Linked DNA regions of Caenorhabditis elegans. The protein of the gene in region 2 purifies or fractionates together with the protein of the main gene of each other region. This does not show direct contact. Each region holds a gene or a part of one and is shown on either strand. Other genes may lie near its edges. The genes, in order: rde-12 and wago-1.

Region 1 (16,901 bases), on a different chromosome or scaffold from region 2:
ACATTGTACCGACTGCAGAATCTCTTTCCATATTAAACATCATCATCATGAATGCTGGAGCAAGTGTTTCAATTGCATAATATGTAAAGTTTTGGCAATATCTTGTCAGCATGCAGACGAACATTGCAAGTTTATCTGGTCGAGGCCAATTTTCATCGTCTTCCTGAATTTTTTATATAATTTTTTTTAAAATGGAAAAATGGAATCATCAACTATATATAAATCAATTATTCCGTATGTTCATAGTTTTTAGACTAAAAAGTGTTGTCTTTTGAAGTGATAACGAGTTGGAGTTAGGAAGATAATTCCAGGTTACTGTAGTGGTTCTATAGAAATTCTGAATTAAAATTTAAAATTTTTGAGTAAAAAACAAGGAAAGAAGCTGATCCAATTTTGGGATCCGAAAAATTTGAGAGTTTTATAAAAACCTGGAATATTTTTAAAAGTTTTACATGTTTTTGGAAAAGTTTATAAAGTTTTGAAATGCTGAACACATTTATTGAAAACTTCTAAAATTATAAAAAGAACCTTCAAAATTGTTGGAAGCTTTCGGAAAAATTTAAAGACTTTGTTTCGAAAATAGTATAGTAATAAGGGCACATTAACATTCGGAATAAGTTTTTTATTATTATTTTTTTAGAAACTTATTGAAAACTTCGAAAAAATTTTATATTATTAAAAATTATTTACTTTCCTTACCTGTAGAGATTTTTCGTGAAAATGGAAAAAAACACTTACAACACTCCTCTGACTGCAACTATTTCCATTTCTTTCAATTTCATGATATACTGTAAACAATGCAACAATTGCAGATATATTTAACACAATTGAAATGAACGCTGCTGCATTATGAGAATGAATATGCAATGGACCGATAAGTTGAAGTCCAGTATCTCCAAGAAATAAGAAAATCAATTGGAGCCCTGGACCAAGAATGAGCCCAAGAGCACGTCCACCAATAAATACTGACATTGCTTTTGCACGATCATCGGACATTGAATGAGCAGTTAGGGTTGTACGTAAAGTTGACGTATTTCCTAGAGAATTTGAGAATTAGCTAGATATATTTACTTTTCGGAGTAGTCGGCGAGTTCAATACTTTTTTTTAAATTTGAATATCAATTTATCATTTCTAATGTGGAACCACTTTACTTTTTCTGATTCGACCCAAGCTTGATGTGTGAATTTTGCTAAATGAAATATTAAAACCACGTTTGAAATCTTTGAAATAGTTACAAAAATACAAAAATAGCTGCTATGAGACTATTTGAATTAGAAATAAAGCAATCATAACGACTTACCCATTCCAAGACCACCTAAAAATCTACACAACATAATGTAGAATGCACTAGTTTCTGCTGGAACATGATCAGCCAAGAGGAATAGACAATTGGAAAGTAACATTAAAAGATATCCAACACACATTGGTTTTTTGCCCTGAACATTTGTTTAAAAGTTTTTTAACTATTTAATGTATTTACCTTATACCGTTTTTTAGTCCACCATGCTGCTGCGAGTGCTCCAAGGCAATGACCAATTCCATGAAGAGTCACTGCCAAACCAAATGACGTAGGACCAACTGATGGGTCGAGCTGAAATTGTGAGGATTTTTATAGAACTTTGAAATGTACTTATAGAAATAAAGAACTTTAATCTCAGATAAATGGTTTGGAGTCTAATTATGTGAAAAGCGAAGCTAATCGGAATGCGGAGCAGAACTAATCGAACCTAAATCGAACAGGGTTTTTATCTAATTTGACTCGTCCCGCTTCTAATTAGATTCGCTTTTCGCGTGTTTCAAATTTGACTCGATTTTCATCTATTTAGACTGGGGAAAATTAAGATTAGACAGGGTTCTCTCTAATTAGACTCCAAACCATTCTGCTGAGATAGTGCTTCAAAGTCACTATTTTTAAGTTAAAAATAACTCATTTGGCAGTTGGCAGTTCTAAAACTAGTTCTTTTTGAAGATTTCACTGCGATTTTATTCATATTTTTCTAAAACCTTGCAAATTCATGACATCGTCTAGCCCGTTTCGAATCAAGAATCAACATTTTTATTACAAAATGCTTCAAAAAAGGATCCGCCCATTTCTTGCAAGCTTGGTCATATTTATTTTTCTGGCACATACTGAATTACTTTATTTTAATTAAAACATTTTAAAAATTGATTTTCCGATAAAATTTTGAAAAATATATATTCACATACTTTTGTCATATAAGTATACATAATAGTGGTAAAAATGGCATATTGAAAGTAGACAACTAATGAAAAGTATCCACAAAGATATACCACATCCCAAGAAGTCTCAATGATTATTCGCATTTTTTGACTGAAAATTTATATAGATTCTATTAAAAAACGTTCATGTACAGTTAAAATTAAGAACTTTTATATAATAGATGCTAATAAAATGTCAACTGACAGCTGAAATAGAGAATGCCGCAAAATAGATGTGTCGTTGGAAGACCACAAATGTTTGAAGAAACAAGAGGAAGAGATTTACATAATTTTGATAGAAAGATCAATTTTCCAACACAAAACTCAATAATATTATCAGAGTGGACGCATACCGGTTGGAGTGATTTGTTTTGTACTTTTCCGGTGAACTGCAGTCACAATACGAAATATGATGAGCCTTCTATAAAATAATATCTTAAAAAGTAGTTTTATATTTACTGAAGCTAATTTATAAGTCGAATCCAAAAAAATTTCAACAACCAACATGTATTCGCATTTTGAAATTTTTCCAGGCCTGCGAATTGGACTGAACTACGGTAGAGACCTGAATGTGCATTTGTGCGTGGAACGGTGTGCGCAGTACGTGGATTGTTTTCGTGTTCACTTCTAGAAACTTCTGCCACGATTTTGACATTTTTAAGTTTTAAATCATTTTTTTGTATTCGTTATTTCAGATTTCCGTTTTCTGAATATTTAAAGTCATTCAACTGATTGTTTTACTGTTTCCAGCATTTGCCTGAAAAATGTCTGAAGAAGAAGGCAAAGAAAAAATGAACAAAATGCGTAAGCGCATCGAACGGGACGCTTATAGTGTTCTTCTTTCTTTCAAAGATGGAGCCTCACCGAAGCAGGTCGAGCAAAGAATGGAGTTAGTTGATCCGAGTGGTGTGAATTTAAATTTACTGTAATTTTCAGCGACACATTAGGATATGACTACTGCTCGAAATATCACTTGGCTGGTGTTTACGACATGGCTCAAATTCTGATCGAGCATCCGGATGTACGGCAAACTTACGAGGGAAAATTCAAGATCATGTACGTTCCGATTTATCGTTCGCGTTTCTAACCTGTCAAAACTAATATTTTAGCGCAAACGAGGACAATCAGGATCTTGTGGATTTGATCTCGAAGCAGAGCGACGGACCTAGGAATAAAGGTTCTTCAAAAAGAGGAAGACGTTCGTCATCTTCTGCTGGATATCATCAACGATCTATGTTTGGAGGAGAGCTGTCGAGATCGCCACGATATTCCAGTTGTCGCCCTCGTTCGTATGCTTCCTTTGGAAAAGCAGCGTCTAAAAAGGTTCTAAAAGATGTATAGAAAGATTTAAATGTCAAGAGAATTTTTCAGTTATTCCAAAACTTCGGGCAACCTTCTCGTCCTTTCTCGGTGTTGTCGTCATCTAAAGCATCCACTTCCTCGGCAATCCAATCCTTCGGAACAGGAAATCATGATTCTACGTTTGGAAAGTCGAGTGGCTCAAATGCGAATCCAACAAATCCGCCTGTAGCTCCATCCATTCAGCGCCCTCTCATGCGCCCATCAACTGCGTCTTCGATTCCAATCTTCATTCTTCGTAGTGGAAGTCGATCACCTGTCAAGAAGCATGTGCAAATTAAAACATCTTCAAGCTCGTCTCATATGCCAACCATCACGGAGTTCATGAATAATACGAAGCGTATGATGGTGAAGGAGCTTCCAGCTTCTGTTCACGTAAGTTAAAAGTTTAGTTGTACTCTCGTATAAGTATTTAATTTCAGCTCTCCGAGATGACAGAACTCTATGAGAGGGAATTCGGTGCACCCGTAGATCCACTATTGTTGTTCAGCAAAAGCTGGATGCTTATGGCCAAGACAACATTCAAAGAGTTTCTACAAGTTATTGATGGAGAAGTTTCGTTGAGGGAAAAGTGGCTAGCTGATCAAGGAACAACAACCAAATCGGTGCTTGAGTTGCCTTCTCGCAAAGTTGAAGCTACAACTGTTGCTCAGCTACCAATATCACAAGGGTTTAGATACCAGGATCCTAACTCAAAGCCGAAAGCTGACCTGGCTTCAATCTCTAAGTCTCTGGACGGTGAGTTATTAAAATTCCTTATATTTTAACAAAGAATATTTTCAGGTCTTACTTTGAATGCCAGAAAGAGCAAAAAGGAAGCAAGCAAAAGTGACATGATGCCATTTATTCCAAAAAATCACCGAGAAATTGTCACAAAGAGATTCGGCAACGCTCCAAGCTCCGTGAAAGCTGATTCTATCGTTGAAAGAGTGCAGAGCACTTCTTGTATCTTCGGTCGACAATCAGTTCCATCAGTCCTTTCAATTTCCTCTTCTTCAACCGTTGTCCCGGAAAAGCTGAACGAAGAAGGCCTGAAATACGATTCAAAAGAGCTTCTGCAACTCAAAGCTTTGAAGAAGACTGATGTCATGTTAGTCAATGTTTATGCATCGCTGAAAGCTTTTCCACAAATGATTGATGCACGTGCGAAAGCTCTGATGCAACAAAATCTTGAAGTCCAAAGAAATATGGCAAGCCGTGCCAGCTTAAATGTTGTTGCTCAAGTGCAGCGCCCAAGTTCATCAATCAACCTTCAACGTGTCAGGGTAAATCCTAATCAATGTGTCAAGAAAGTGGTTCCAGTTAGAACCCTTGGACAGGCTCTCGCTGAAGTTAGGAGACAACGAGAACAGGTATAAATTGTTGTCCTCTCTCATTTTACTTATATTGTTATAGGTAGAGCAAGAAGCTTTCAATGAGCAGCCAGAACCTTCACCTTCACCTCGTCTCGGCATGGGCTCTTCTTCGCATGCAGCCAGCAATGTTTCAGATGATGGCTGGGGTGCTCAAGTCGTTCAGAAAGTCGAGGTAAAGTATATAAGAAGAAAACTCTTGTTAATATATTAAATTTTCAGAAGAGTCCACCCAAACCGTTTACCGTCTTGCTGCCACCAATGTCAAAAGGAGCGGGTGTGAAAATACGGCCTCGTTCTCGTGTTGTATTATGCCATTCGTCAGCGTCCTCGTTTCCACCGTCGCTGAACTCCGATTTCTCGCCGAACATCTCCCAGGCGTAGTTGAAGCAGTGCTCCTGACACGTATTTTATAATATTTATGTTTTTTTTGAATATTTTTCGTTAGTATTTATATCTGAATTTTGAACCATTTTCGCTATTTTCGTTTTTATCACACTAAATACTAGTGCCGACAATCTTTTTAAAAATTTTTAAATGTATCGTTTTCTCTATTCACAATTAAATGGAGAATAAGTCCCTTGGTTTATTATCATGTAGAATTGACTTTCCGCTTTAACGTCCAAAATAAATTATTTTTCTCAAGAATACTTCCTTCTAAATACTTATAACGCTGTTCTTGTACTCCCTAGTTGAAACAATTACATTTCCAACATTGAGATTTATTTTAAACAAAATTCCCCGTTAAAAAATTCAGAACTGTATTTAATAGGTACTGAATACAAAATTCATAAAGAAATAGATAGTCAAAATAAGGTACGGGGATACGGTGGAATACGGAATACGAGTAAGTAAATATCGGGATCGGAAACAATACTTAACAGAAGATTTACAAAACAAATAAAAGAATGCGGTGTCGTGAATTTGAAAATTTTCGAGACATCACATAAATCACCATGTTCAATTGACTGATTGATCATGCCAGAATTGATAATTACGAAAATACGATAGAATGGTGTGAAGCGATGTCTCGAAATGTTTCTATTAAACAAAAGATCTCTCGAGATCAAATAATAATGACGACGTCGCGTAGATTTTACCACTCGTCGTCGTCGTTGCCATCGGCTGAAAAGAAAGTTTCATATAAAATAGTAACGTATAGAAAATAATATTCTCACCTCCGGTTTCAGTTGGTTCCTCGTCGGCATTATTAGCTGTTCCAAATGTTGAACTTCCCAGAGTGGCACTCTCTTCAGCTTTTTTCGCATCTTGGGCAGCTTTCGTAGAAAAGCCAAAACCGCCGGCGGCTGGTGCATCTTCAGATGCATCATTGTTGTCTGATGGGAATCCAGTTGGTGCTTTTGGAGCACCAAAACCTCCCCCGGATGATGTAGGCTCGGCATTGTTTCTAGATCCGCCAAATCCGCTGGGTTTTACGCCTCCGAAGCCGCCGCCTCCACCAGATCCTCCAAAACTGCCACCACCGCCGGATCCACCAAAATTGCCGGAACCTCCGAAGTCTCCGCCTCTTCCTCCGCCACCGAAGACACCACCACCTCTTCCTCTACCAGTGCCACCGAAGCCTCCACCTCTTCCTCCGTATCCACCTCGCTGACCAAAACCGCTAGTTCCACTCTTTCCACGGCCTGAAATCATGTTTTTAAAAATTGAGACATAAATAATAATTTCACAGATATTTTCTAAATACCACTTACTGGATTTTGCCATCGCGTCCAAGAAATCTGGAACTTTGAGATCCGGGAGATTCTGCGATATAATAAGCTCGACGAGTTTCGGTGCCAATAAACTATCTCGATCAGACTGAGGATCTACAAACGAAACGCAGAGACCATTTTCCTTTCTTCCAGTTCTACCAGTTCTTCCAGCGCGATGAATGAACGTGTCAGCTCCCTGATCAGGGTCTCCGTCAGGAAGGTCAAAGTTGATAACTCGATCCAAATCTGACACATCAATTCCTCGCGATAAAAGATCAGTGGTGACGAGCAAGTTTACTCGGTTGCTTTTGAAGTCATTGATCAACTTTTCACGCATGTCTTGGGATCGATCACTGGAAATTGTTAATAGATATTTGCATTATTAGAATCAAAATGGTTTTTTCAAAAAGAAAGTGAACAATAAAATCTCAAAATTTGCCAACTTGTCAGCATGATTTACACCTTCTTATTGCATATTTTGATAATTTAATTATCACAGTGTCTCGTTTATTAAGATGCTTCTTCAGTCAATGACTGCACATATTTGATCCAACTAAATATATGTAAGTTGGCCATAGGAATTTTTCCAAAACTTGGGAGATTTTCACAACGTCTCATGACGAAATTCGGCGTTATAAATATAAAAAAAATGACAGAAGACATACCCGTGCAAAGTTTGAGCTAGCATTCCTCCGGATGTCAGTTTTGCGGCACACGCATCGCATTGATCCTTCTTTTGAACAAAAATTATCGTCTTGAGAGTTTTACCGTTAACTGAAAATTGAAACATCGGACTATTGAAATTCCGATTTTGACCCGATGCCACGAATACTGTAACTTTCGAGTGGCCATCTTACTTACCGTTCTGTTTAAGAATCTCCCTGAGCTTCGCGTTCTTCTCTGCAAGACCCTTACATTCGAAGAACTCCAGGTTAACGCGTTTGCTCAAGCGTCCATTAGCTAGAACGATTTTAATCATCTCATCTTGACCAGGCAATCGTTTCATCAGTTCATTTGCGACAGTCATGACACTCGCGTTAAAAGTTGCTGATGTCATGATAGTTTGTCGAGTAGCAGCAGACTCCATGAAGCCAGCGTCTTTGATAATTGCTCCAAGATGTCCCAATGGATCCTTTTTCATATCTTGTAAAAGACGATCTGCCTCATCGAAGACGAGGAACCTCAGATGCAACAGACTGATGTGACTTTTTACGGTGAAATCCATAATGCGGCCACAGGTTCCAATAAGAATATCACATCCATTCCTGATTTCATTGAGCGATCGAGCACGATCCGACTGTCCGTATGATAAGAGAACAATGATATCCGTATTTTGGCAATATGTACGGAGAGCTTCGTGAATTTGGGCTGCCAATTCACGGGTTGGAGCAAGAATGAGGGCAAGTGGTCCATCGTCTTGACGAGCCTTGTTGCGAGTCTCCTCATCCATTCTCAAAATTTTATCAATAATCGGTAATCCGAACGCCGCTGTCTTTCCAGCGCTGGTTTCCGCCTGTCCCAACACGTCGTGGCCATCGAGAACTTGTGGAATCATTGCTCCTTGGATTGTTCGAACATTATTATATTTTATACGCTTCAGCGTCTCGAGTATTGTTGGGTGAAGACCAGAATTCGTCCATGACGTGAGACGGACATCTTTTTCGGCATTGCGAATCTCAACAGCACGATCTTGGCCTACATCACAATCTGCTAGACGGTCCGCAGTTTCTCGAACCAACTCATCGATATCTCGTGTTACTGGAACCCAGTCACGTGGGGCTCTTACCGGTGCATTGACACCTTCAGAATTACTACCATCGCTACGGTGGAATCCGCCGATATTATTGGAATTTCCTCGATAAGAGTTGTTCGGGTTTCCAAAACTGCCACCGCCATTGTTTCCGAATCCACGATTGTCATTGCCCCCAAATCCACCATCGTTTTTGAAACCACTGGAACTGTTATTGCCTCCAGAACGATGATCGCGGGAATCTTGTTGAGAGCGGTAGTCGTTTCTGTATTCTCCGCTGTTATTTCCACTGTAGCCACCAGAATTCTGACCACGGTAGGAATCGTGGCCTCCCTGGTGGTTGTCGTAGCGTCGCTGATTGTCTTCTTTTGGAGCACTGTAGCGATCTTGTCCACCCTGATGGCTTCGCGGAGAACTTTGGCTGTTGTAGTTGTGGTGGTCGCGTGGTGAGTCTGAAAATTGGAGATAAATTAGCATCAAGATTTTCAAAGAAACATACTTCTGTCAGAATCTCTATTCGATTGATATGGTCTAGCCTGGTCATTGTCGTTACGACGACGATCATCGTCTCTGCGATAGCCGGAGTGACCATCGCCTTGGTAAGATCCCTGACGATACTGGTCGTTTCTGCTATTGGAATTATGATTAGAACCATGATCGTTGTATTGGTTCATTGGTCCACGATCATCTTTTGATCCGTGATTGTCTCGCTGATAATGTTGGCCACCACGGTTGCTGTCGTAGTTATAATTGCTTTGAGAGTAGCGATTATCCGCACTTCGTCCGTTGTTGCCACGATCATCCCGTTCCCCATAGCGGCTTCCACCGTGGTTATCGCGAGAATCTGGAGTTTTAGAGAAATTATTAAAATAACACTTTCATTCGAACTCCCCACGAGAACGATCATCCTCACGTCTTCCGTAGCTGTTTCCGTGATTTCCTTGATGCCCACCTCCGTATGAATCCTGTCTCCCATCTGGACGACGATAAGATTGATAACTCGAGTTATGATCTTCACGGCGCCTTTGTCCTGCATCCGATCCACCATTTCCGTGCCGATGATCACGGTTTGAACGATCGTCGTGATATTCACGACCTCCTCCGCCGGCATTGTTGCCAAAGCTCGACATAGTTCTGAAAAAAAAATAGATGGAGATATTTAGCTTGCAGTTTTAAAGAGAAATCAAATATTGCTAGAAATCCAATTTTTTGAAGAAAAATTGGTGTAAAACTAATGGTATCATCTAGAAACATGAGGAGAGTGTGCGAGTGGACGTGGTGCAAAAAACGAGGGAAAAGAGGCGAACAGAGAAACACGACTGGTCATCTGCGTCTATTATTTGCCCTCACGTCTACACTTCTTGTGTTCTCGTCATAGCGAATGAAACTTTTACAACAGTGATAGGAGGGGGCATTGAGGCAGTAAAAAGTGAATGTTGCACAGTATCCATCATACAGGCCACATCAGATTGTTTATAATTAGGTGCAACATTGTTGTACAAAACATATTGATTGATGGACAAATTGACAATTTTTTAAATGTTTTTTTTTAATTGAGGGAGAAAAACCACGTAAGCAAATATTTCCTAAAATTGGGAATGCGAGAAATACAGTGAAGATTGTTTTTTTGGCTTAGTAATATAAAAATTAAATCAACGAAATTGTGAATATTTAAAGAATTATTTTTTGAATTTCATTCCCACTGCCCAAAATGCAACCCGCAAGAAAATTGAAAACTTTACTGTGCTTTCACGTCGGAAATGATTAAATTGATAAAAATGTGTCAAAGCGGAAAGCATTATTTAAGAATGAGCAAAGGGAGAGGAAATGAGAAACCAGGGAACACGCGGAGAAGAGTTTTCGATATTAGAGGAAAAATCGGAAAATATACGCTTGAAATGAGAGTGGATTGCTGCAAGAAATTGAAACGTGGAATTGTTCGCGCGCTATAATCTCAAATTTTGAAATGCGCCAATAAGCGTCACTGGCGCATAAATCGATCATCAGCCGGAAATTGTTCTTCCTCTGAATAGCTCGTGTTTTGGAATTTCGACATCGTTAACTAATAATAATAGTTCAAAAAATCACACTTCAGCCATTGAGGATTAGGATTTAGATTTTTAAATTTTGAATGAATGAAACTGATAGAAAATTTTGGTTTTTCGGAAACAACCAAAAATTTACCAACATATTTCGGGCCTTTAAAACATTTGGTTTCAAATAAAAACGTAGTATTAATTGGATATCACAGAAAAAGCGATAACCAGTTTTGAATAAAACATTAAAGAAATTAAAATAAAGATTTTCACTTCATAAAAAGTAAATTTGTGAGAATTAAATGTGAAGAAAAAAGAGAAAAAGAATCCATTATTCGAGAGCAGAAACGAGAATAGTATTCAATCGGGAGGTGACTATTTTTGGCGGGTACGAGAGTGGAAGGAGGAGACACCGGTATTCAGAGTGTAGAGCGCGCGGGGGAAAATGAAAAATATTTAGGTTACAGAAAATACAAAGATTGAAAACAATTAAGAAATGCAAAATATATATTAACACAAAAATTTGAAGCTATGACTTTCTAGGCTGATTTCGAGTCGGATGTGCTCTTCGTCGTCGAAGAAGACGACGTCTTGGAGGAATTTTGTTGCAGTGTGGATGTGACCTGGAAAAAATCATTTTAATCAAGGAATTAATATTCTTTTGGTGATTTGAACACAATAATTTTAAAATTCTATAGAGATTCTAAAACGATCAGGTATATGTACCTTTGTATCGACATCGGGAATGCCCACTGGTCCATTCTCTACCTGTTGCTTTTGCTCCACTCCCTCTTGTTCACTTCTCGCTGGAACTTGCTTTGATGCCGTGTACACTCCCTGTGGTTGATTGAATGCATCCGCAGATGATGGACCCTGAAATTTATTTGTTGAGGTTGAAGCATTGCTTTAATTCTGGGAATACCGTTGGCAAAATCGGCATCTGATAATTTCCGGATTGAACTTTTCTGATCTCCTCAGTTAATCCAGCAACTTCATCTTCTTTCTTTAGTGTTCCAATCATGGACGCCATTTGAGCTGCCGATACGTGAACATCTGTATGTTTTTCAAGAAGTTCGATAACTTCCAAGACTAGCTGCTTATCGACAATTCCATCGGAATCCTCATCGATTGTCTTCAAGAGAGCCTCAATTCTCTCACGTTGTTCTCCATCATCAGCTTGTTCTCCTTTACTTTCTTTCAACTTTGCCAAAGAATCGATAACATCCTGAATACGAACTTCGCGTTCTTTTTTCAAATCAACGCTGTTCTCCACGGTTGGATCAATGAGCATTTCACGAATATTCCTCTTCTCATCTTCGAGCTTATCCACCATCGAATCGACATCTTCGATCATTGAATTGAGCTTGTGACGCAAACGTTTCGCAATCTTTGTTTCAGCGAATGCACCATCTAGAGAATTGATTTCCATGAGATCTTCCTTGTGCTCAAGAACCTTTTCGCGTAGTCCAAGAATATCGTGTTTAGCTTCTTTGATGGGTCCACCGACAATGATCTCCTCAATATGGGAAAGATCTTTCTTGTCCACAGTGATATCTTCTTTCTTTTCTTCTTTAGCTTCTGAAGGCTTCGCAGCAGGCTCCTTCGCTTCTGTTGTAGAAGATGTTGATGCTACAGCGTCATAAATATCTTTTTTGAGCTCATGGACAATTGCTTGAGCAGCCACATCAACCAACTTCTCCTTCTCTTGAACTTTGGCCTTTTCGGCTTCCTCTTTCGATTTCAAAGCTTCTTCTGCAGCCTTCTTCTTCTTTTCTTCATCCTTCTTTTCATTAGCGATCGCAGATTCGATAGATCTGATCAACTCGATACGAGCTTTGTGATCAATTTGTCCTCCTTCCATTTCTGTTAGCTTCTGTTTTGTGGTCTCGGCAAGTCCATCTGGCAGATTTTGAACGATAGCTTTGAGACGATCAGGGAATGAAACTTCTTCGGGAAGATATAGCGTTCTGAAAATAAATTCGTAACTTTCAATTCGATAACTTCGGAAAAAAGATTACCTGGACAACAAAAGAAGGGCCGGCGGAACTTTATCATTCAATGAAAGCTCCAGCCACTGCACTAATTGTTCTTTCAATCGTTCTTCACTGACTCCGATAGCTCTCATTCCACGCGCACGACACGCCGACTGCAAGTCGATGGAGCTCAGCGCATCAACACCTCCTTCTGCGGCAATCTGCTTGTCATCGGCCTTGAGTTCTCGAATCTTCATATTTAACTGGAATCTAAGAATTTCAGGCGATCCTAGCGAGTTGATGCTCATTAAACGACAAAGTGATCGGAGCTGTCCCATACTAAGATTGTCGAGTGTTATTTCGTCTTCGAACAGTTTCGAGAATTTGAGAAGTTCTTCATTGGACACATATCCACCTTCATTGCGAACTTTCTTGATAAAAAGGGCAAATTCCAGAGATCGAGTGGATTCCTTGTTTCTCGTTTTTCTTTCCAGTCCAATCTCTTCAATCGTGTCTTGCAAAAATTTCGCCATTTCAACACGAAGTTTCACTTGCTTTCGCCATTTTTCTTCCTGAAAAATCGGATGTTAAAAATTGAAATTTAGAGAAAAATAACGAACCTCCTTGCTACTCTCCTGGAATGTACTTGGCAACATTCCTGGGAATAATTTGATAAAAATAGGAAGCGCCAACTCCATAAATGGAACAATGATGAAAAATGAGAATGGAACGAGACGAAATAGATCCGAAACTGTTCGAACCAGTTGTTGACGCTCACGACGTGACAAAGTTGCTCCTCGGAGCACTGTCCACAGATATTTCGCACTGACACGCGTTTCCAGAGCGAGCAACCTAAATCCATGATAGTAATGCTTCAGCTCGTGTATAATTCTGTCTTTCAGCGGTGGCTTCACTGTGGCGACGTCTTTATCTGATTTCATGAGACTCAAGACTTTTTGTGCTTCTTCGTCTTGTTTCTGAACGTCTTCTCGTAGCATTTTCAATGTATACTCCACTTTGCTTCTGTCTGTTGATGCATACCTGAAATAAATTAAATGTTACGATTTACTTTTTTTCGAGTTGGGAAATTTAAAAATTACCTCAGACTTGTTGTTTGTAGTGAGGTAGATGCAATATATTGATGGAATACCCGATTTCTTTGACCAGTAGCGAAAAGTCTCTGCGCATATCGTCCTATGTGGTAAGCATTTGATGCGTAACGTAGACTCATTATTATTTCCACGTATTCTTACTTGATTATCTGAAAAATAAAAGTTTAAATATTATTAAAAGTAAAATGGGCAAAGTGAGAGATATGAAATGACGCAAAATTGTCTTTGAAAGAGAAAAGATGAAATTTGAAGAGTGAGAGATTTCGCAATCGGGAGTTAAAACTTTTAAGGCTTAAAATTTTCGATAGGTTGAAAATATGACGATCCCATAAGCCAGTTAGCAAATTTTAATAAAAAATTGGAAACTGTTTCCGTGAAAGGTGTTTTTTTATTTTAAAATTGAAAAAGGGTGCACGTTCACTGATAGAAATCAATAATTTTATGAGTACATCATAGATAAATCAATAATGTATTTTTAAACAGGTTCTGATGATCGGAAGCCACGAGTACGAAAGTAACAAACAAAAAACAAAATTTGGCAACGGGTACTCTGCGAACAAAACATTTTTTCGCAATGGAGCGCATTTCGGTCGCCCTGTGGTGAGTGTTCTATGAAGGTGGTCAGAGATCAAACTACTGATGTTTAACAGAGGGAAATCACTTATTAAAATAATTTAAGAGTCATCTGAAGCTCTCAAACACTCAATTTCTCGAGAAAATCAATATATGCTGTGTTAAAAAAAAACAATTATTGTATTTCTCACAATCTGTGTTTTTGAATAGTAATAACAGAAATGGAATAAAAAAAAGCACAACGTTTTTTTTTCAACTAAATTGGCTTATGAATAACAGTTATATAACCTCATCCCTGAACGTCTTCGTACTTGAAAAAAACATTATAAATAAGTTTAAGAATTATTTTACAAATATGGAACATAGATAGATATAGATATTTGGAATAATTACGAAGAAAACTCGAATTTAGAGAGAAAAAACGAAAGCTGTGCCATCAAAAATATAACAAACAATTTAAAGGCGCATTCAAATACCGTCTCATCGCTTTCCCTGCGGGACCCAATTATGTAAATTCTACTACGCGCCTTTAAATTATACCGTAATCACTTTCGAAATTCTCCAAACATTTTTGTTTTTTTCGTTCTTGTCTTTTTCTTTTTTAGTATATTTTCGAAATTTTTCCTTATAAATTGAATTTCCCAAACGTTTTTTCCAATTTTTAAGCTCCTATTGTTCTAGTATGTGCTCTTGTTCGCAATCCCATCATCATTTTCTCTAATCACGCGTTGAAAACTGAAAACTTTCGATTTCGGGTCCGAAAATCAAACAAATAGTTTGGAAGAGTAGATTATTGAGTAACCGAACACGTGTTTTGTTAGTATCAGTTCGAATTAAATGAAATAGGCGATAATTAGAAGCTAAAAGCCATAATCGATGCCAAAAATGCTGATGTTTGATAAATAAAGACAACGAAAGAGACAATGCGGAGCAATCCGAGCGGAACGTTCCGAACGGAAAAGTGACGTCATTGATCAGTCGTTTCCCAGTGATCAAAGCCGTTTGAATGAGCCATTTGAGCATCTCTCCCGTCTTCAATAACTCTGCTCTTTCCTGCTGACTGTTATAGAGAAAATAGAAAAACAAAGCAAACGTAAATATAGCTGTGCAGAAATTTTAGCGAACGTTGAGTTAGGTTTTTTGTTTTGTTTTTGATTTTTCATACCTTGACATTCGGCTTTTTTGGCAAGTGTTTTCATCCTTTTGTGTTACTATCTAGCTTCAGAAGTTTCCTAATATTTTTGAAAATTCCCTTAAAACACGATTAACGTAACCTTGTCTTGTTTTTGTTTCCAGCCTCCCAGTGATATCAGCTTACACCAAACCTCATCTTCTCGTAGACACTCACAAAAAAGTGGCCAGATGTCTGGTCGATCTCCTGATTTTTTGACACCAGTTGATTCATCATCACTCGTTCTTTCAATAGCCAATTTGTATAAAAGAAAGTCCGTCCTAAAACGTGATCATGGCAAACTTTCGCGATAGCTTATCACACCACCTACCACGTTGATATCTTTGGTTTTCGTTATCAAGTTCATACCATCTCGTTTACTTTTAAGTAAAAGTAAAATTATCTAGATTAAAAACCAAGAAATATAGTTATTTTTCTATTACGAATTTGATAAATTTCAAAATCACGACAAACATTAATAGAAAATGGTTCTGGTTGTTTCTAAAATGCTGAAATATTTACAGCTCATCTAAGTATATTTGGTCAGATTAATTCACTTTGACTTCGTTCAGATTAAAAAATATATATCGTAATAACTATTTTCCTTGTGAAGAGTGTCGGGTGTCATTTTTCCGTTCGTTGTCTTTTATCCACGATTTTTGCGAATTTTCAAAATTAAATCTAATTTTTCAACTCGGCTAAATCAATTTTTCGACCGCCGTTCGTTTCCCATAAAACCAATTTTCAAACACTGTTGCACTTTTCAATTTCCCGCTCATCACATGATCAATGATGGCGCCATGACGGAAAGGGAGAAGAAATTGAAAAAAAAACGGAAAACGGATGGAAATGTATGCGAAAGCGTGTGTGGCGACGAGCGACCGCGTGGTCTGAAACACCACGTGGTATGGGAGAATGTGTTCCGTATTTTAGACCGATAAAGTCAAGAGAGAGTGCGACATTGTGTAGTTGGCAATTTGCCAAAAAGTACATAACGTGCTTGTCTACGGCGTATTGGTTCTTTGTATTTGAAAACCACGTGAGATGGATAGCCCCCGACTGAAAGTCATTAATATTTATGGGTGCATTGCATGCTGAAAGTTGCGTAAAAATGGTTTCAAAAGATCTGAAAAGAGTTTCAGTCCGTTTATCCGATCATGTTTGAAAGTCGTGTGTTCCAAAATTCGTCACTCTAATGACCATTGTCATATCTAGATCACGTTTCATTTCATGTTTTGACTGTTCGTCACCTTCTTCCACTTCAAATGAACACAATGTAACATTTTTCTTTCATAAGTTGCATAGTAATTAAAATGATGTTAGATGTTTGGAATGATTTTCTTATGTTCCTGAAGGTTCTGAATTTGAGCTATGGTAACACTTCAATCTCTCCATTTTTATCATCAGATGGAAACAACATGTTTCAAGGCGAAAAGGTGAAGGGCGGAGCATTGACACGTTCAATGTGTCATCAGTGACCTGGTTATGTTTCCATTTCAAAGGAAGACGCTGTCCGTGATAAATGGCGTTGTCGGTTCAACAGCTGTTGCAGTTCAGCCAGCCTGCTCCGCCGATTTCGCGCACTTTCTCTTTTTTCCATTCATCACATCCTATTTGAATTCGTGATGCGGCCCCCAAA
Region 2 (16,423 bases):
AATTCGAGAGCTGCTTCTGCTGCATTCATTGAAAGAACGAGTTGGTGAATGATCGAAAAGAGTTCATTTTCACTTTCAAGGACAAAATCTTCCAGTGCGATTCCACCATTTGCCGAAACGAAAAGAATAAAGTTTTGATCTATTGAAGAATACACATCTGGCCTTGTATTCTCGGATTCTTTCAATTTGTCGTATGAATCCCAGGCACTCAACAATCCTTTAGGATACTTCCCCATCACAACTTCGGCAGAAATCATTTCGATGAAATTTGGAGTAGAATTCCAAGCATCTTCATCTCTCAAAGCCGATAGTTCCTTCATTACGATAACTTCAGGCAGAACGACATCGGATGTTTGCATTTCCTCAGAATGATATTCACCGAAATATTGCCGATTGCATCCATCTTTTTCAAATGGGACGATTTTGATAGCAACCGGTTTACCATCCCATATTGTTGAGAAGACTTCACCGTAGGCTCCTTCGCCGAGTTTCTTAACTCTTCGACCATCGAGAGCCGACTTCGGTAGACTATCCCACGTTTTTGATTCTTTTTGACCAACAACATGAAGGAGCTGCATCATCGGTGATGGATCGATTTCCGAAGTTAGATCTTCCAAGTAGAATGGGAGTATCGACGGATCTTCATTATGAATCGTCATACCAGTAGGAATATTTCTAGATTCTGCACGAGATTCTGAATATTGAGTTTTTCCAAACTCTTCTCCCATCGTGTCTTCTAAAAATTGTTGTAAGCTCATCTCCTCCATGGCACTATTTATGGAATCGTGACGAGATGAAGCTGCAGACATTACTGAAAGTCGTGAGACACGAGATTCTCTGTCACGTTGCCTTTGTTGGGGTTGAAGAGTTGTTCTTTTTCTTATTTCATTCTCTTTTTCAATTTCGAATAAAGCTTCTAGATCGTCTTGATCATCCTGCATCGTCATCACAGTGCTCATGCCTTGACACATTGTCTCCGGGCTCTTTGTTCTTTGTCGCTTTTTCGAATATTTGCTTTCTTCGAGATTTAGATCTGAGCATCGTTCATGCTCATCCTCCTCGTGCAATAGTTCCGTAACAGACGTTTCAGCTTTTCGGTTAAAAGTGACATCTTCAACATCTTCTGAGTCTGAGACCTGCTGGGTCATGATTTTTGAATTTTGGTGACTTTCGTTCCGGGACTCGATTGGCGTGGTTTTCAGTGTAGAATGTGAGAGACGATTTTCGGAGATTGCAGTTTCTTCAAGATCTTGCTGTGGTTGTTGTATACTTCCAGCCAATGATGATTCTACAAAGACAACGGATTAGGAATAAATATTTAATTGGTTTGTGAGAATTGTGAATACATTTTTTTGCACTGTGGAAAACTTTTTTAGGGCTTATAAAATTCTAAATAGAGTTTTAAAATAGAAAATATTAGAAAATGAGTAATATTGAAATTACCATGAACTCTTCCACTGTATTCCTCTTCGATCGGGATATTGTTGATGGTAGTCTCTTTTTGATCAGAATTTGCAGATTTTTGTGCGATTTGTTCTTCTTTTTTCGTGATATTCTCGCAAGAATCATTGAGGGAAACATCTGAAACAATTTTTTAAAATTAATTTTCAGTGTAACTATTGACTATGACTTTTTAAAATGAAAGACATAATCTATAGCAAAGTTATATAAATGTTTAAAAAAATACCAAATACTGGGAAGCTTTTGGGTCTTCTTCCAGCTGTCTGCTTTTCAATCGGAGTACTCGCATTCTGAGTTTTCGGCGAGAAGACAATGCTTCCGATCGTGTCGTCTAGTTGCTTCGCCGTTTTGTTCACACGAATCGGGGTGTCTAAAAAAGGTTAATGAATTTGAAAATAATTTCCAGTTTTCAAAAGTACAGCTATAAATAGCGAGACGCTCATCCTGACACTGGACATGTTTCGCCGGCACGATCATCTTCGATCTTTGAGGTGTGCCAAATACCCTGAACAATGATGGAGCTGCCAAAGATGCTTCTGAAATAATGAAAATTGCTAAATATCAAGTTGAAAAATGTGACTAACTTTTGTTTTGTCTCATATGATCTGCTAGAATTGAACCGCAAAATGATGCATAATTTGTTGGACACTGAACTTGGTTTGCTTTGGAATTCATCTCTGGAACCTGCTTAACTGGTTTTTTTTGTCTTTGTTCCATTTTCTTCGCGAAATCTATTTTCTTTGCTGGCTCTGAAATTATAATTAATAAACCTTTTGATGTTTTCTGGACTAACTATTCATCATTGGGAAATTTCCATCGTGATATTCTCGAATACCTGGCCGCCATGCTTCTTCAGGCTGCTTATCGTGAATAATATGTTTTCCATTTTCTATTTTTACTCTAATTCCATCATTATTGAAGACTTCGAGAGAAACATCATCCAATGAATCAAATGCTTCCTTCTGAAAAAATTAGATTATTTTCAAAACTCGAACATTCAAATGTTATTTTTGCATTCACTCCACGTTTACAACGTTAAAAGGAGTAAACAAAATACTAACGATTTTCTTAATTTTTTCTTCTTCATCAGCATCTGCATCAGGCACTTTAAATTGTCCAGCATCTTCCTCATCACTTGATATTTCGACATCACTGACATTTGGAGATGGTGGGAACACTGGTTTTGGCTTATTCTTCTTTTTGCTTCTGAAGAAATTTTAAATTTTGTTACTTTGAAAACAATTTTTAACATACGGTTTGAACTCTGGATTATCATTAAACGACTTAAACAGCGCCGGATTTTTTGAAAACTCATATTCAGGAAAGTCGATCGGGCATTCTGTGATAATTACGCTTGACAATTGACGATTTCGTCGGGCAAAATTATTTCGAGCTTTTTTCCCGGGCGATATTGGCACTTTTATTCGGGGTTTAGGAGGCATTCTGCAAAAAAAAGTGGAAATTGATTAAAACGTTATATAATGTAGCGCAAAATGCAAAGAGTTGGTTTGAAACAATAAATAACGCGCCGAAAATATAAATGAAAGTGCGCTCTACGGAGAACACTGGTATTCCATAACAAAAAAACAAAAAAAATAAAATTTCCATGTATTGGTTTTTTGAAAATTTTCCCAATCTAAAACTTTGTTCAAAACCAAAAAAGCGAAAGAAATATTATTTTGGTGATCCCGATTTTTCAAACTTAAAACTGAAATAAGTTTTATGATTTTTATGGGTTTAAGGAGACTACAACAACATTGCACGTACAACTTAACATAACAACAGGCTACATTCTATAATCTGCACTCAACAACAACAACAAAAAATCAATTTCCACGTAGGTCAAAACAATAATAGGGCAACGGGGGAAAATGAAATTAGCAGTTACACCACTTACTATTAGATACGCATTGTATGTAACGCAAAAACAAGAATGACAGGGTGGGATACAAATAAAAAATCATGGTATGCTTCTCACAAACTAGAAGTTGGAATTGAAAATACTACAATTTGATTGAATTATTAGTGCTGAAGCATTGACACGACGGTCGATCAGGAAGCCGGATTCCTTGTATTTGATGCTATCGGTAATCTGCTTCATACGAGCTGCCTCTGGTCCAGAAACTTCGGGAATTGCATCCGCAATGCTGCAAAAATATTTTAATATCAACTGTTGTCATTTTCTTAAACTCACATGGCTTCATTCCACAAATTACGACCACTCTTCGCGTACTCATTTGCAACATACATTGGTGTTGGAAAAAAAAGAAGTTGGAAGTCTGACAATTTGGTGAAGGTGGCACAATGGAAGTGAAATACACGTTCGAGCAATTCGTCATTTTCCGAGATTAAAAAAAAAAGGATTTGAAGAGGTAGATTTTCCTTGAATAAAAAAATCGTTATTGTCGATAACAGGAGAACTGACAAGTTTCAGTTCAAGGGAATTGATTCTAAAATAGAAAAAAAATGTTAAATTTAATCTCGTGCAGAAACTACTTACAAATTTCGAAGCTTCTTGTTCTCGCGTTCAGTATCTTGAAGCTTCTTTCGATTATTTTCCTCAAAATTGGCTAGCTTCGACAGTTGGCATGTGATTTCCTGTGTCCTTTTCTCTGTTTTCGCCGTTTGATCTTTTAGCATCACCGACTGAAATAAAACTTTTTCTTCTGCATGAAACAAGTGCAAAAAATTACCTTTTATTTTTCGTTTTCCTAATAAATTGAATTCTGAATACTTTAAAAACCAATAATTCTGGTGAGACGTTTGAGAATATCTGTACTTTTTACAGTCACGTCGCGAATCGGGATGTACAGCGCTGAACATTTTCCGCACATTTTCGGCAGATTTCCATCTATTTTAAGAGTTTTCGTAGGGACCTTACACAAATAACAAAATCCAGCAGTCTGCGTTGTTCGACAAGATGTGAGAGCAGGTGGTGATGTAAAATTGCCTTCTTGCTGGCGGGAATCCACATAGGTTGCAAACGATTAACTTCATTGCGATCTAAGCTACAAGCCTGAATTAGATGAGTATCATTCAAAATAAAATTAACAACTAAGTCACTTTTTAAAACATGGAAAGCACACAATACTTGTAAAAAGGAGAAAAATAAGGCTGTACAGCAAAAATAAATTCAAGGAGCGTTCGTTTTAACACTGAGTGGGTCTCGCAGCGATCTCCATTCTTATGTACTGTATGCGTTGTCATTTAAATTTTTTAGGACGAAGAAATTGTTTTTTGTATTCTTTTCCGGTTTGTGACAGTTTTCAATAATTTTTGTTAATTTTCAAGATTATTTTTATATTTTAATAATAATCTAGTTACAAAATCTTAAGAAACTTGCTCGTTGAATCTTAAAAATGTAAAAGTGATCTACATTTGATCTAGCCGCCAATTATCGGATTCTGTATTCTTGCGTCATTAATAATGATGATTTTGTACAAATCTAGTCGTTATTTGTTTTTATGCCGCCTCTGAAACACCGAAAAATCTCGAATCATTATTCTTTTTCGTCGGCAATACGAAAATTCCGTAGTTTGCCCTTTCTTCATAACGTACCATTTTCGTTCTAGATTGATCTCTTGAAGAAAACTGATTTATTTGTTTAAACTATTGTTAAATATCTCACAAATTCATAATTTTCTATAGATGTTCTCCAATCTCGCTTATTCGGTGCAGAATATTATTTATATAAGCTTTTTTCAGAACTAATATTGCAATAGTAATAAGATGTCTCCTCATCCACCACAACCGCATCCACCGATGCCTCCAATGCCACCAGTCACTGCTCCACCAGGAGCTATGACTCCAATGCCTCCAGTTCCAGCCGATGCTCAAAAGCTTCACCAAAGCACTGGCAACGACGCATGCATCAAGCGTTTACAACAGTTAAACGTATGTTTATCAGCATTCAAAGATCTTTCTAATGCCATATTTGCAGGTTGAGGATGGTGCGAAAATGTACATGAAGCCAACCGAACCTGGAAAAATGGGCAGACCAGTGGACATCCAAACCAATGTCTTCGGAATTGAAGTCACAAAGGAAACCACAGTTCATCGTTTTATGGTTCACGCAAAGGCCGATTTGACTTCAACAAAGGAAGTGACTTTCACTAAAAAAGGAAAGGAGGACTTCGTCGTTCAGGATCGTCGCGATAAGTGTTGCAACATCTTTTTCCTTGCGGTTGAGAAGAACCCGGAATTCTTCAAAATGAAGGATGGGAATCAGATTGTATATGACGGTCAATCAACTCTCTACACGACGGTCAACTTGTTCTCAGAACTGGATGCCAACGGTACGAAGTCCAAAGTCTTCCAAATCAACGGAGCTGATACCGGCAATGACGACCTTAAGACCCTGCCTTGCATTTCTCTCGAGATTTATGCCCCAAGGGACAACTCTATCACGCTCTCTTCTGAAAATCTGGGCAAGCGTACTGCGGATCAAAACATTGAAGTAAACAATCGAGAATACACTCAATTCTTGGAACTTGCTCTGAATCAACATTGCGTGAGAGAAACGTAAGTGAATTTCGAAAATTATTAAAAGCATCGCTTCATTTTAGAAATCGTTTCGGATGCTTCGAGCACGGAAAAGTATATTTCCTCAACGCCACCGAAGAAGGATTCGATCAACGAGACTGTGTCGACGTAGGAGACGGAAAACAACTTTATCCTGGCCTCAAGAAGACGATTCAATTCATCGAGGGTCCTTATGGTCGCGGACAGAACAATCCATCTCTCGTGATTGATGGTATGAAAGCTGCTTTCCACAAAGAGCAAACTGTGATCCAAAAACTGTTCGACATCACGGGACAAGATCCTTCAAATGGACTCAATAATATGACCCGTGAGAAGGCTGCGGCAGTGATTAAAGGACTTGATTGCTATTCGACTTATACCAACAGAAAGCGCCATCTAAGAATCGAAGGTATCTTTCACGAAAGTGCCACAAAGACCAGATTTGAGTTGCCCGATGGAAAAACTTGTTCAATCGCCGAGTACTATGCGGACAAATACAAGATCAGTCTACAGTATCCGAACGCCAATTTGGTGGTTTGTAAGGATCGAGGCAACAACAATTACTTCCCGGCTGAACTGATGACTGTGTCCAGAAATCAACGTGTCACCATTCCTCAGCAAACGGGAAATCAATCTCAAAAGACAACGAAGGAGTGCGCGGTTCTTCCGGATGTCCGTCAGCGAATGATCATCACTGGTAAAAATGCTGTCAACATTACACTCGAAAACGAGTTGCTCGTCGCTCTTGGAATCAAGGTTTACTCGGAGCCTCTGATGGTTAGTTTGTGTAAATTGTAAAAAAATATATTTGTTTTCTTTTTCCAGGTCCAAGCACGTGAGCTTGATGGAAAAGAACTTGTATACCAGAGATCGGTAATGTCGGATATGGGAAAATGGCGTGCGCCTCCAGGATGGTTTGTGAAGCCTGCGACTGTTCCTGATTTGTGGGCTGCTTACGCTGTTGGAAATCCAGGTTGCAGATTCTCCATTGGAGATGTCAAGTAAGACAAATAGAAATTTACATGAATCAATTCAATTCTTAAGCCAACTCGTCGGAATGTTCATTGATTCTTGCAAGAAGAAAGGCATGGTGATCAAGCCACCATGTGAAACAGGACTTTACAGTACGGAAAAAATTATGACTCAGCTGGAAAAAGTGGCTGCGAGTAAGTGCAAGTATGTCTTGATGATCACTGATGACGCAATCGTTCACCTCCACAGTAAGTTTTCCTTAAGTTTTCATGGTTCATTGAAAATTTCAGAGCAGTACAAAGCCTTGGAACAGAGAACAATGATGATCGTCCAGGATATGAAAATTTCCAAAGCCAATGCCGTTGTCAAAGATGGGAAGAGATTGACGTTGGAGAACATCATCAACAAAACTAACGTGAAGTTAGGTGGTCTTAACTACACTGTTTCGGATGCAAAGAAGAGCATGACCGACGAACAATTGATCATCGGAGTTGGCGTTTCCGCACCACCGGCTGGAACGAAGTACATGATGGATAACAAGGGACATCTTAATCCACAAATCATTGGCTTCGCTTCAAATGCTGTTGCAAATCACGAGTTTGTCGGCGATTTCGTTTTGGCTCCCTCCGGACAGGACGTAAATAATTAATGTGTTCGAGTTAACAACATGGTAATTTTTACAGACAATGGCATCAATTGAAGACGTGTTGCAAAATTCAATCGATTTGTTCGAAAAGAACCGCAAAGCGTTGCCAAAAAGAATCATCATTTATAGAAGTGGTGCATCGGAGGGTTCTCACGCTTCTATTCTGGCTTATGAAATCCCATTAGCCCGAGCTATTATCCATGGTTACTCGAAAGAAATCAAATTGATTTTCATCGTCGTCACTAAGGAGCACAGTTACCGATTCTTCCGTGATCAGGTAAATTTGTTTTATTATTCTCTTTACGCTAACTTTTCAGCTTCGTTCGGGCGGCAAAGCCACTGAAATGAATATTCCTCCGGGCATTGTCTTGGATAACGCTGTCACGAATCCGGCATGTAAGCAGTTCTTCCTGAACGGTCACACGACTCTTCAAGGAACAGCAAAGACACCATTGTACACTGTTCTTGCTGACGACTGCAAAGCTCCAATGGACCGCCTGGAGGAGCTGACCTTCACTTTGTGTCATCATCACCAAATTGTTTCCCTGAGCACGTCGATTCCCACTCCACTTTATGTGGCAAATGAGTATGCAAAGCGTGGAAGAGATCTCTGGGGTGAACTAACGTAGGTTTTTTTTGTTTAAAACAAAAATTTATTTATATTTTGCAGGACTAAAGGACCAATTGAAGCAAAGGAGTCGCAAGGCGAGCGCCTCAAGGAACTTACAAAGGAAATCGGCTACAAACAAACCGATCTCAATCAGAAGCGCGTCAATGCATAGATTTGGAGCTATGCCACATACACTTGATGTTTTACCTAGGATAATAATTTTACGGTCACCTAGGATAATAATTTTACGGTTTTTCCGCTAGTTTTATTGTAATTTTTTAGTCAAATGTTTTATATTTTTGTAATGTGGTTCTGTGTGACCCGTAGTAATTAAACTCGGTATGATAAAAGTTTTAGGCTGATAATATTTTTCAAAGATTTGCTTTGTGCGTAAAAGTTCGAGGCGATGTTTTTTGAGGATCTTCAAGTGAAAACGAAGATTGTCTGATAATGAGGGGGAATTTTGTTCGATTTTTTTTTGAAATTGGAACATTAAACATTTCTAGAGCTGCTTCCAAGTCAATTGACTAGTCGACTAAATATTACTTTTTGGTTGTAATCTCAATATTGAACAAACAATTTATTCACGTTTTTAACTCAAAATGGTAATTCGAAAGTTAATCAGAACAAGAAAAGTAATAAATAAAAAAGCAATTTCATTCAAGCCTTTCAACTATCCTTGGTTGAATTTTCTGTTCCCTTTTCTCGTGAGTTGAAAAAACGAATGGTGAATTCGCAAGAAGGGGAATAAATTTCCCAGATCCGGGAACTGTTTGAAGTTTTCCGTGAGCCCATACAATTCGCCCTCTGTAATAGATTGTGGTTAATGTTGTGCCATTGAGAGAATATGTCTGAATACAAGAATCAAACATTTTTAGATTATTTTTTTTTTTTTGCATTGGCCGCCTTCAAAAATTAAGACGATAAAATGAGCGTGCGGAAACCTTCTTCCAACCATGTACGAAATGCTATTATGGGAACACAAAATTTTGAGAATGCGTATTGCACAACATACTTGGCGCGCAAAATATCTCGTAGCGAAAACTACAGTAATTCTTTAAATGACTACTGTAGCGCTTACGGACATCATTTAATAAATAATCGATCAAATATTAGAAGAAAACTTAAAAGCTACAAAATATCGTTGTCACTATTCGAAAAGAAATTCATTTCAAAAATCGAGCCCGTAAATCGACACAAGCGCTACAGTTGTAATTTAAAGAATTACAGGAGTTTTCGCTAAGTGATATTTTGCGCGTCAAATATGTTGTGCAATACGCATTCTCAGAATTTTTTGTTCCCGTATTACAATTGCTTTATACTTCATATTAAGATACAATGTTTAAATCTGAACCTAAAATCCTATAAGTTGCGGTACTTATATATTTAGTATATTTGTACAGTAACCCCCCTTCGAATTTTCGCATATTTTTATTCAAAAATTGTAATTAAATCTAAAGTTTCGTTGCATTTTTAGACTTACAGAACCACTTTTTTCTAGTCCTAATATTGTTGAAAAAATATGTCGGTGAAATTTTGAAATGTTTAAAGGTTTTTGTGTACGGGTACTACATATTAGACAACTGCCGATGTCACACTTCAAAAATACTTTGCATTATCAAATATATTGTTGTTTGTTCTGAAAAACGCAAAGATTCAAAAGTGTCGACGGATATAATATAAAAACTGACTATATCTCTGAAAAAAACTCCGAAATAAAGGTTCAACGGAAATTGGTATATTTTAACATATGCTTGATAAGAACCAAAACTTCGGCATCTAGGCTATTAACTAATTTTGTCTAGACAAATCTCACCGAGAAATAGTAACTTCGGCAACTCCGTGACAGTTGATTCCTTCAAAAATGTTGAAATCGAGGTTCTGAAAAAGTTTGATAGAAAAAGGGGAAAGATAGATCATAACTAAAACAATTGTCATAGATTTCTTCTTAAAAATTAGTTGAAAAAAAGATAATTATCAAATTCCAATATAATTCAAATTTAAAACCAACATGATGATGTGTGTCCTTTGAAATAGTTCTAGTGGCATTTGGATTGAAAATTACAATATCTGCATCGGAACCAACTGCAATTCTTCCCTTTCTTGGATAAATATTAAAAATTTTTGCAGCTGTTGAACTGGTTATTGAGACATATCTCATTGGATCAATTATTCCAGAATGTACCCCTTTTTCCCATACAACTGACATTCGATCCTCGACACCATTGATTCCATTTGGAATTTTTGTGAAGTTTCCTCTGGAAATTAAATGTTTCTTTTTATAAAGACACAATAATATAAAAACTCACTTTCCAAGAGATTTTTGCCTGCAATCATATGTGCAATTGTCTGTTCCTGTCAGGTGAAGTTCCCCGCTGAAATTATTATGATTACTGTTTTTAAATTGAATTGAATTGAGTTAAAAGAAAAAAAAACTGTTTGATTTGTACAAAGCCGGGATTTTGGTGATTTCTTATCTTATGTGCTTGATTTCTTTTTTGAATATTGCAAAAAAAATTGGGAAAAATTGCACTTGTAAGGGGTTAGGTGTAGGATAAACAATCTGGAAAGTTTGGTAACTTTAAATTTATTTTTAAAAAATATGAAAATCTTTTGATCAAGTTGGATGAAAATATTTTTCAGACGTTTTCAAAAGATGAAAAAGTTCCAAAAATCTTTCAGAACTTTGGTCTACTTCTGAACACCCTGAAAATGTCAAAAATACTATAAGAGATTTTGGAGCAATTCTACAAGCCTCAAAAGTATCTCAAAAATACACTTAAAAAATTCCAGATAATTTGTTACAAGATATATAAACGTACGCCGCAAGTAATTTCATAAGTAATTCAGGTGTAGTTGGATCTCTGCTTAATGGTGGAGACATGACATATCTTGCAGCATGGAGCCAATCTTCATTATAATAATGTGATCCATCAAGAGCTAATCCAGCAGCTATTGGCTCTCCAAAAACAATGGAACCTTGAGCTCGGTGATGGGAAATTGCTGATGCGGCTCCTTTTGTCATTACATGAACGATATAAACTGGACAATTAGCTTGAGCAGCCAAAACGCAAGCTCTATTGGTGGCTTCTGCTTCAATCTGAAAATCTCCGTAATCGCTTTGACTGATCTCATCTAACAAATGCCATTATTTTTTAATTGTATTTCTTATATGCTCTGTATAACGATTAAATTCAAATGTGAACCGGAGGTGTATGCACTCAAAAATGTTTTTTAATTCGACAAATTGGTAATCTAAAATTTCTTATAAAAATAATAGTACGGTTGAAACATATTAAATTGCTTCAAATCTCTTGAAAAGCAACTTTGTCAATTTACCAAAATTTGTCTGAACAATTTCAAATTCTAAAAAGAATTTTGAAGTGTTTAATTATGATATTCAGATATTTTTGGAATGTTATAGGTGTATTCAGTTATACCACTTGCTTTAATTAAATATGAGTTACCTCTTCTGGTCTACTCTGTGTATGTCCTTCAGGCCCAGTAACTCCTTTTGCCAATAAATCAATTTCCTTTTCTTTAATCACTGAACCATTTTCACAATGAACTCTTGCCAATGCTCTAAGTTTTGCACATTCTTGCATTCCTCTGAATAATTCATCATCTCTGACCATTAGTGTGTTCTCATAAGCCATGTAGAATTTGAACGAATTAACTCCTTTAAATAAATTAAATTTGAAGATTTTTGTTTTTTTGAAAATTTATATTTTCAGAATCTAATTATATTCAAACTTACCAAATTCTGGACTTGTAATAATTGCCATTTGTTCAGCAGTTTCTGGTCTCCACATTGTGATAGCAACTGATAAACCATAATCACAACACACTTTTGGATCTGCCCAACTTCTCCATCTATTGTAACCAGCAATCAATGACTCCCCATTTCTATGATCCGGACAACAGAAATCAATTATCTGAAATTTAACCTTTTCTATTCATTTGATCTTCAGATTTTCTAAACCCGCCAGTTGATGGGAGAAATATGACCTTGGCAAAATGTGAGTGTGATTTATCACTTGGTTAACAAGGATATTTAATATAATAATGATCTATGTTATAATTCGATTACTTTAATTTCAAAAACAGAAACGCGAAATTATAAAAAGAAGGATTTTTGCTGACTTTAAAAATAAATAAAATTGTCAAAAAAAAACCTTCAAGTTTCTGTACTTCGAAGTGTTCTATATCTTTTGATGTCTATACAATACAATAATTAGAAATAAATTTTGAAAGCATTTTATTATTTATTCTTGTTCGCGGGTTTGAAGAAAATCTGAAAACTAGATGAAAGTGGGCATCCGTCTTTTTCGAAGTCTTCAAAAAAAAACGGTTGTTCAATTTAAACGGATACTAATAAAATCTTGGATCCTAGAATAAACATTTTTGTTTAATGGGCACAACGGTTTGCCGCATTTCCTGAATAGACCCTCAATTTTGTAGGCAGGTAGGCAGTCACATCTATGCGATGAGCTTATAATTTAATCAGTAAGTCATCTCACCATTGTAGTTCCTCCAGCAACTGCTGCTTCTGTTCCTTTCAAAAAATCATCTTTTGTCACTTCTCCCATATATGGCATTTGCATATGTGTATGAGGATCAATACCTCCAGGAATCACAAGACGATCTGTTGCATCAATTACTTCTGTATCTGGTAGAGCAGTTATATTTGGAGATACTTCTCTGAAATCGTTTTTTTTTTCAAAAATTATTTGGTAGAATCAACTTATTGGCGGATTTCGATTGGGGGGTTTTTTTTTAAATTAAGACCTCTACTAACTAACTTATGTCTCAAATGTTTAGTATATTGCCAAATATTCAAAAAGAAATTGGGGTTTTCACAAGAAATTTGTAGCAAAGAGCAAACGTCTACAGTGTTCTGAAACAAATAATTAAATCATAATTGAAATTAAAAATCGTAGAACACTTTTCAGTTGAATACCAAAATTATGATAGATGAAAACTTAGATATTAGAAAGAAATTGATACTTTTTTAGATTAAAAATTCAAGAATAGTTTCTAAAAAATGTTGAAAAGTTTTCCTATTTGAGCGTTATAGGAATAATCATTTTCCTCAGAGGCGCAAATCCATCTTCAAGAAAGAGATACCTAGATAAACTGAATTACAGTATATTTATTTTATCACTATCACCTAATTAATTTAACTACTTAACTTAACTACAGTTTTTACACGCATTCTTCTTGTTTGAACTTACACAATAATTCCATTTCTAACAAGAACATCAGCTTTAAACATTCCATCTTCATTGACGACAGTTCCATTCTTGATAACAAGTGGTGGGGACATTTCCGAATCTCTTAAATTAGACAAAAAATGAATTTTCTTGACGAAACACAAAAAACTTTGAAAATGAAAAAAGAAATCTTGATTTTGGGTGGAAGGAGGAGACTGATTGATAATAATAGTTGTGATAAGAAAGATAAAAGAAGAAGACGTACCCGGGGCGTGTGATGATAACGTACCCAGATTGATATAGACGATGTTAAAATCACGTTTCTTTAATCGGAAGTGAGAAGAAACCATATGGCATGATTGAAGATGGTACGGTTAGTCTGTCCAGTTTTTGTTCAAAGTTTTAGAAATTATTTGGTAAATTAGACTAATTGACAAACAACAACTGAAATATTCGCCGATTGTGATGACTTGTTGAGAAAGATGTGTGATCAACGTGCTGGAGTCTTCACAATGAGCATGTTCTACACATATGCCATCCGTGCCGCTCTTTTCTATTTAAAGCTTAAGCTTCAATGTCTGAACGAGAATGGAAATGAGGATGCTCTGACAAAGGTCCCTTTCCTGACAAAGAAAACTAAATAGCTCTGTATTTCAATTTTTCTTTCCTACAAAGAATCTTTTACTGTCTCGATTGTTTATTGAAAGCATCCGTTGCACTTCAAACTCAATACTTCAAAATTCGTGAAATTTGAAGTATTAACTTTGAAGTTGTAATTAAACCTTTCCACTCCCAAATCCAAGATAATCGTTTTCAAAAGAAAATTTTATTCAAGGTAGAATTATATATGAAAATATCCCCTTTTTGGTCTCGCCACGAGTTTCTTCAAATTTCAAATGAAGCCTGCTAGACAGTCTGCGCCTTTAAGAAGTACCGTAGTTTCCATGGATCGTTGTTTCGCAATTGTTATGGCTTATTTTCCCGTTTTTTCTTTATTCTTCATAACTTCATGGTATTTTTTAACACAATTAGTTGACCAAAAATAAAGAAAAAACGAGAAAAAATAGATTCAACATGAACTGAATAAATATTTAAATTTAAATTAATTTTCACCGTTTCATCTTCACAGTATGAAATTCTAGAATTCGAATACTATGTTTAAAAATTATTTCGGAACGTATTTTTTATTTCTATGTAGAAAATACCGTACTAGACCTGTATGACTAACAAATTTCTTACTAATTTTCAGTTTGATCTACCCCGCTTAATGAGCGAATTTTGGTTGTTATTGTTTTCAATGATTTCGATTTTTACTTCACAATCGCATTCCAACAAATCAGTCTTCACTAAAGATGCGTTTTGTGTTCATCATTGCTTTGCTGCTCATTGGAGGTTTGTTTTTCACTTGTATTTTGAAATTAAATTAATTGTAACAAATTGCAGCATCTCTCGCTCACCCAGCCGATCCGATCCGTGCCAAACGTGATGTTTCCGCCAGTGAAGATGAGTTCAGCGGAGATTCATCTGGAGAAATTTCTGGCGAGAGTTCTGGTGAAGCATCTGGTGAAGCCTCGGGAGAAGCATCTGGTGAAGCCTCGGGAGAAGCATCTGGCGAATCATCTGGTGAAACTTCCGGCGAGAGTTCAGGAGATGAGGAAACTTCCGGCGAAGGATCTGGTGAAGAAGGATCCGGTGATACATCACCAGTCGTTCCTGTCGACGAACTCACTCTTCAACAGTTGGAGACACTCAACACGTATGCTCAACAAGTTCAAGCTGAATCACAGAAGCTCATTCACCAAGCTAACTTCGTCATCACTGAGGTTAGTTTCTCGACCCCTTTTAATTCAATATTTTAAATCTTTCAGATGACTGCTCTCTCTGCTAACGCTCAAAACCTCGGAATCCTCTCGAACATCGTGCTTGCCAACTCTCAGATGGTTCTCGACAGTGCTCGTCTTTCACTCAATGAAACTGAAACCGAAACCGGAACATCTGCACCAGCTACTTGCGTCTCATCTGCTGTCTGCTATGGAGATTCTGGATGTGGAAGTGGAAAATGCATTGGAGCTCTTGCCGGAACTTGCAACTGTAACTCCTGTGTCTTTGGATGGCCGTAAGTTTTCAATTTATTTCGCAGCAGATTTTAAAATATTATTATTTCAGATGCCAAGAGGACAGTGCTTGCGGAGGATTCAACGGTGCTTGCAACAGCATTACCGCTACTTGCGATTGTTTTGCTGCCTACACCAAGAACAATCTCACTCTGGCCGAAGCCCTCACTTCGTTCTGCAACGTGGAGACGTGCAATGGAGCCGAAGACAATGTCGAGAAGTGCCACGGATTGCCATGCAACTATGGATTCTGTGTTTGCTAATTGACCCCATCTTATCGGCTTTTTTTTATTTTGCCCAAATATATTGCACACAAGTTTACGGAATGAATAAAAATTTCATGATTCTAATTAACTTCAACATTTGAAATGAAAAAAATCAAAAAATCACTTGGAAAATAATTGGAACAGTTCTGGTTCGTCCATAACCGTCGTGTTCTCGATTTGTTCTGACATTCGGATCAGTTCCATCAAATTCGATGGTTTATGAGAATTTATTAATGGCCATTCAGGAGGTGGCTTTAGGTATACTCCATTCTTCGAAAGCATATGAGATCGATCAGATGAGAGCAAGGATATGTAGTTTTCTCCTGGAATTACACGAAATTTTCTGAAAATAATTATTCAAACTGAAGAAAAAGTGTTAAAGTGTAGCAACCTTCTGAATTTAGTGTCACGCTGAGCCATTTCTGCGAGATTCATAGTTTTTTCCCAATATTCTAAGAAATCACAACTCCATTCGAGTGTAGAATCCAAATCGTAGACTTTTGACCCGTTTTTTTCCTTTTCAATAGCAATGACGTGATAATCCCAGAGAACATGACCACTGTAAAAATAAATTATGAAATCATGAAAATTCTTTGATTTTTATTTTATAATTAATAACT

Evidence for each region.
Region 1: the proteins of wago-1 (region 2) and rde-12 purify together in Caenorhabditis elegans (affinity purification with mass spectrometry, with the first as the bait; one study listed by BioGRID). This does not show direct contact.

Annotation. Positions count from the first base shown.
Region 1 is NC_003283.11:13,658,027-13,674,927, reverse strand, and holds rde-12 (DEAD-box ATP-dependent RNA helicase rde-12), read right to left. Parts: upstream 9,540-16,901; 5' UTR 9,528-9,539; coding exon 9,293-9,527; intron 9,242-9,292; coding exon 8,897-9,241; intron 8,850-8,896; coding exon 7,509-8,849; intron 7,422-7,508; coding exon 7,313-7,421; intron 7,001-7,312; coding exon 6,648-7,000; intron 6,579-6,647; coding exon 6,111-6,578; intron 6,058-6,110; coding exon 6,029-6,057; 3' UTR 5,638-6,028; downstream 1-5,637. Other genes in the region: F58G11.4 (MFS domain-containing protein), read right to left, coding at 1-163, 739-1,037, 1,302-1,437, 1,482-1,592, 2,210-2,326; mip-2 (HTH OST-type domain-containing protein), read left to right, coding at 2,986-3,110, 3,158-3,277, 3,331-3,544, 3,593-3,955, 4,003-4,318, 4,364-4,932, 4,976-5,107, 5,155-5,316; letm-1 (Mitochondrial proton/calcium exchanger protein), read right to left, coding at 10,973-11,056, 11,160-11,306, 11,356-12,400, 12,452-12,978, 13,027-13,447, 13,507-13,637. UniProt on the Caenorhabditis elegans protein: Probable ATP-dependent RNA helicase involved in RNAi-mediated gene silencing. Specifically required in the endogenous siRNA pathway for biogenesis of secondary endogenous small interfering RNA (siRNA) intermediates called 22G-RNAs.
Region 2 is NC_003279.8:7,230,218-7,246,640, forward strand, and holds wago-1 (Argonaute protein wago-1), read left to right. Parts: upstream 1-5,166; 5' UTR 5,167-5,190; coding exon 5,191-5,355; intron 5,356-5,401; coding exon 5,402-5,982; intron 5,983-6,026; coding exon 6,027-6,759; intron 6,760-6,807; coding exon 6,808-6,983; intron 6,984-7,026; coding exon 7,027-7,202; intron 7,203-7,244; coding exon 7,245-7,591; intron 7,592-7,637; coding exon 7,638-7,877; intron 7,878-7,917; coding exon 7,918-8,225; intron 8,226-8,270; coding exon 8,271-8,382; 3' UTR 8,383-8,575; downstream 8,576-16,423. Other genes in the region: hasp-1 (non-specific serine/threonine protein kinase), read right to left, coding at 1-1,288, 1,444-1,581, 1,688-1,831, 1,881-1,997, 2,046-2,210, 2,255-2,423, 2,523-2,667, 2,716-2,903; R06C7.2 (BEN domain-containing protein), read right to left, coding at 3,443-3,608, 3,656-3,843, 3,887-3,911, 3,962-4,284; dhp-1 (Dihydropyrimidinase 1), read right to left, coding at 8,867-9,017, 10,027-10,091, 10,222-10,468, 10,520-10,585, 11,033-11,310, 11,678-11,889, 11,968-12,145, 12,731-12,911 and 1 more; cpg-3 (Chondroitin proteoglycan 3), read left to right, coding at 14,776-14,815, 14,867-15,246, 15,292-15,539, 15,590-15,800; R06C7.6 (Protein N-terminal glutamine amidohydrolase), read right to left, coding at 15,924-16,146, 16,195-16,362. UniProt on the Caenorhabditis elegans protein: Argonaute protein which is involved in the endogenous small interfering RNA (endo-siRNA) pathway. Interacts with secondary 22G-RNAs, which are RNA-dependent RNA polymerase-derived endo-siRNAs, typically 22 nucleotides in length with a 5'guanosine residue.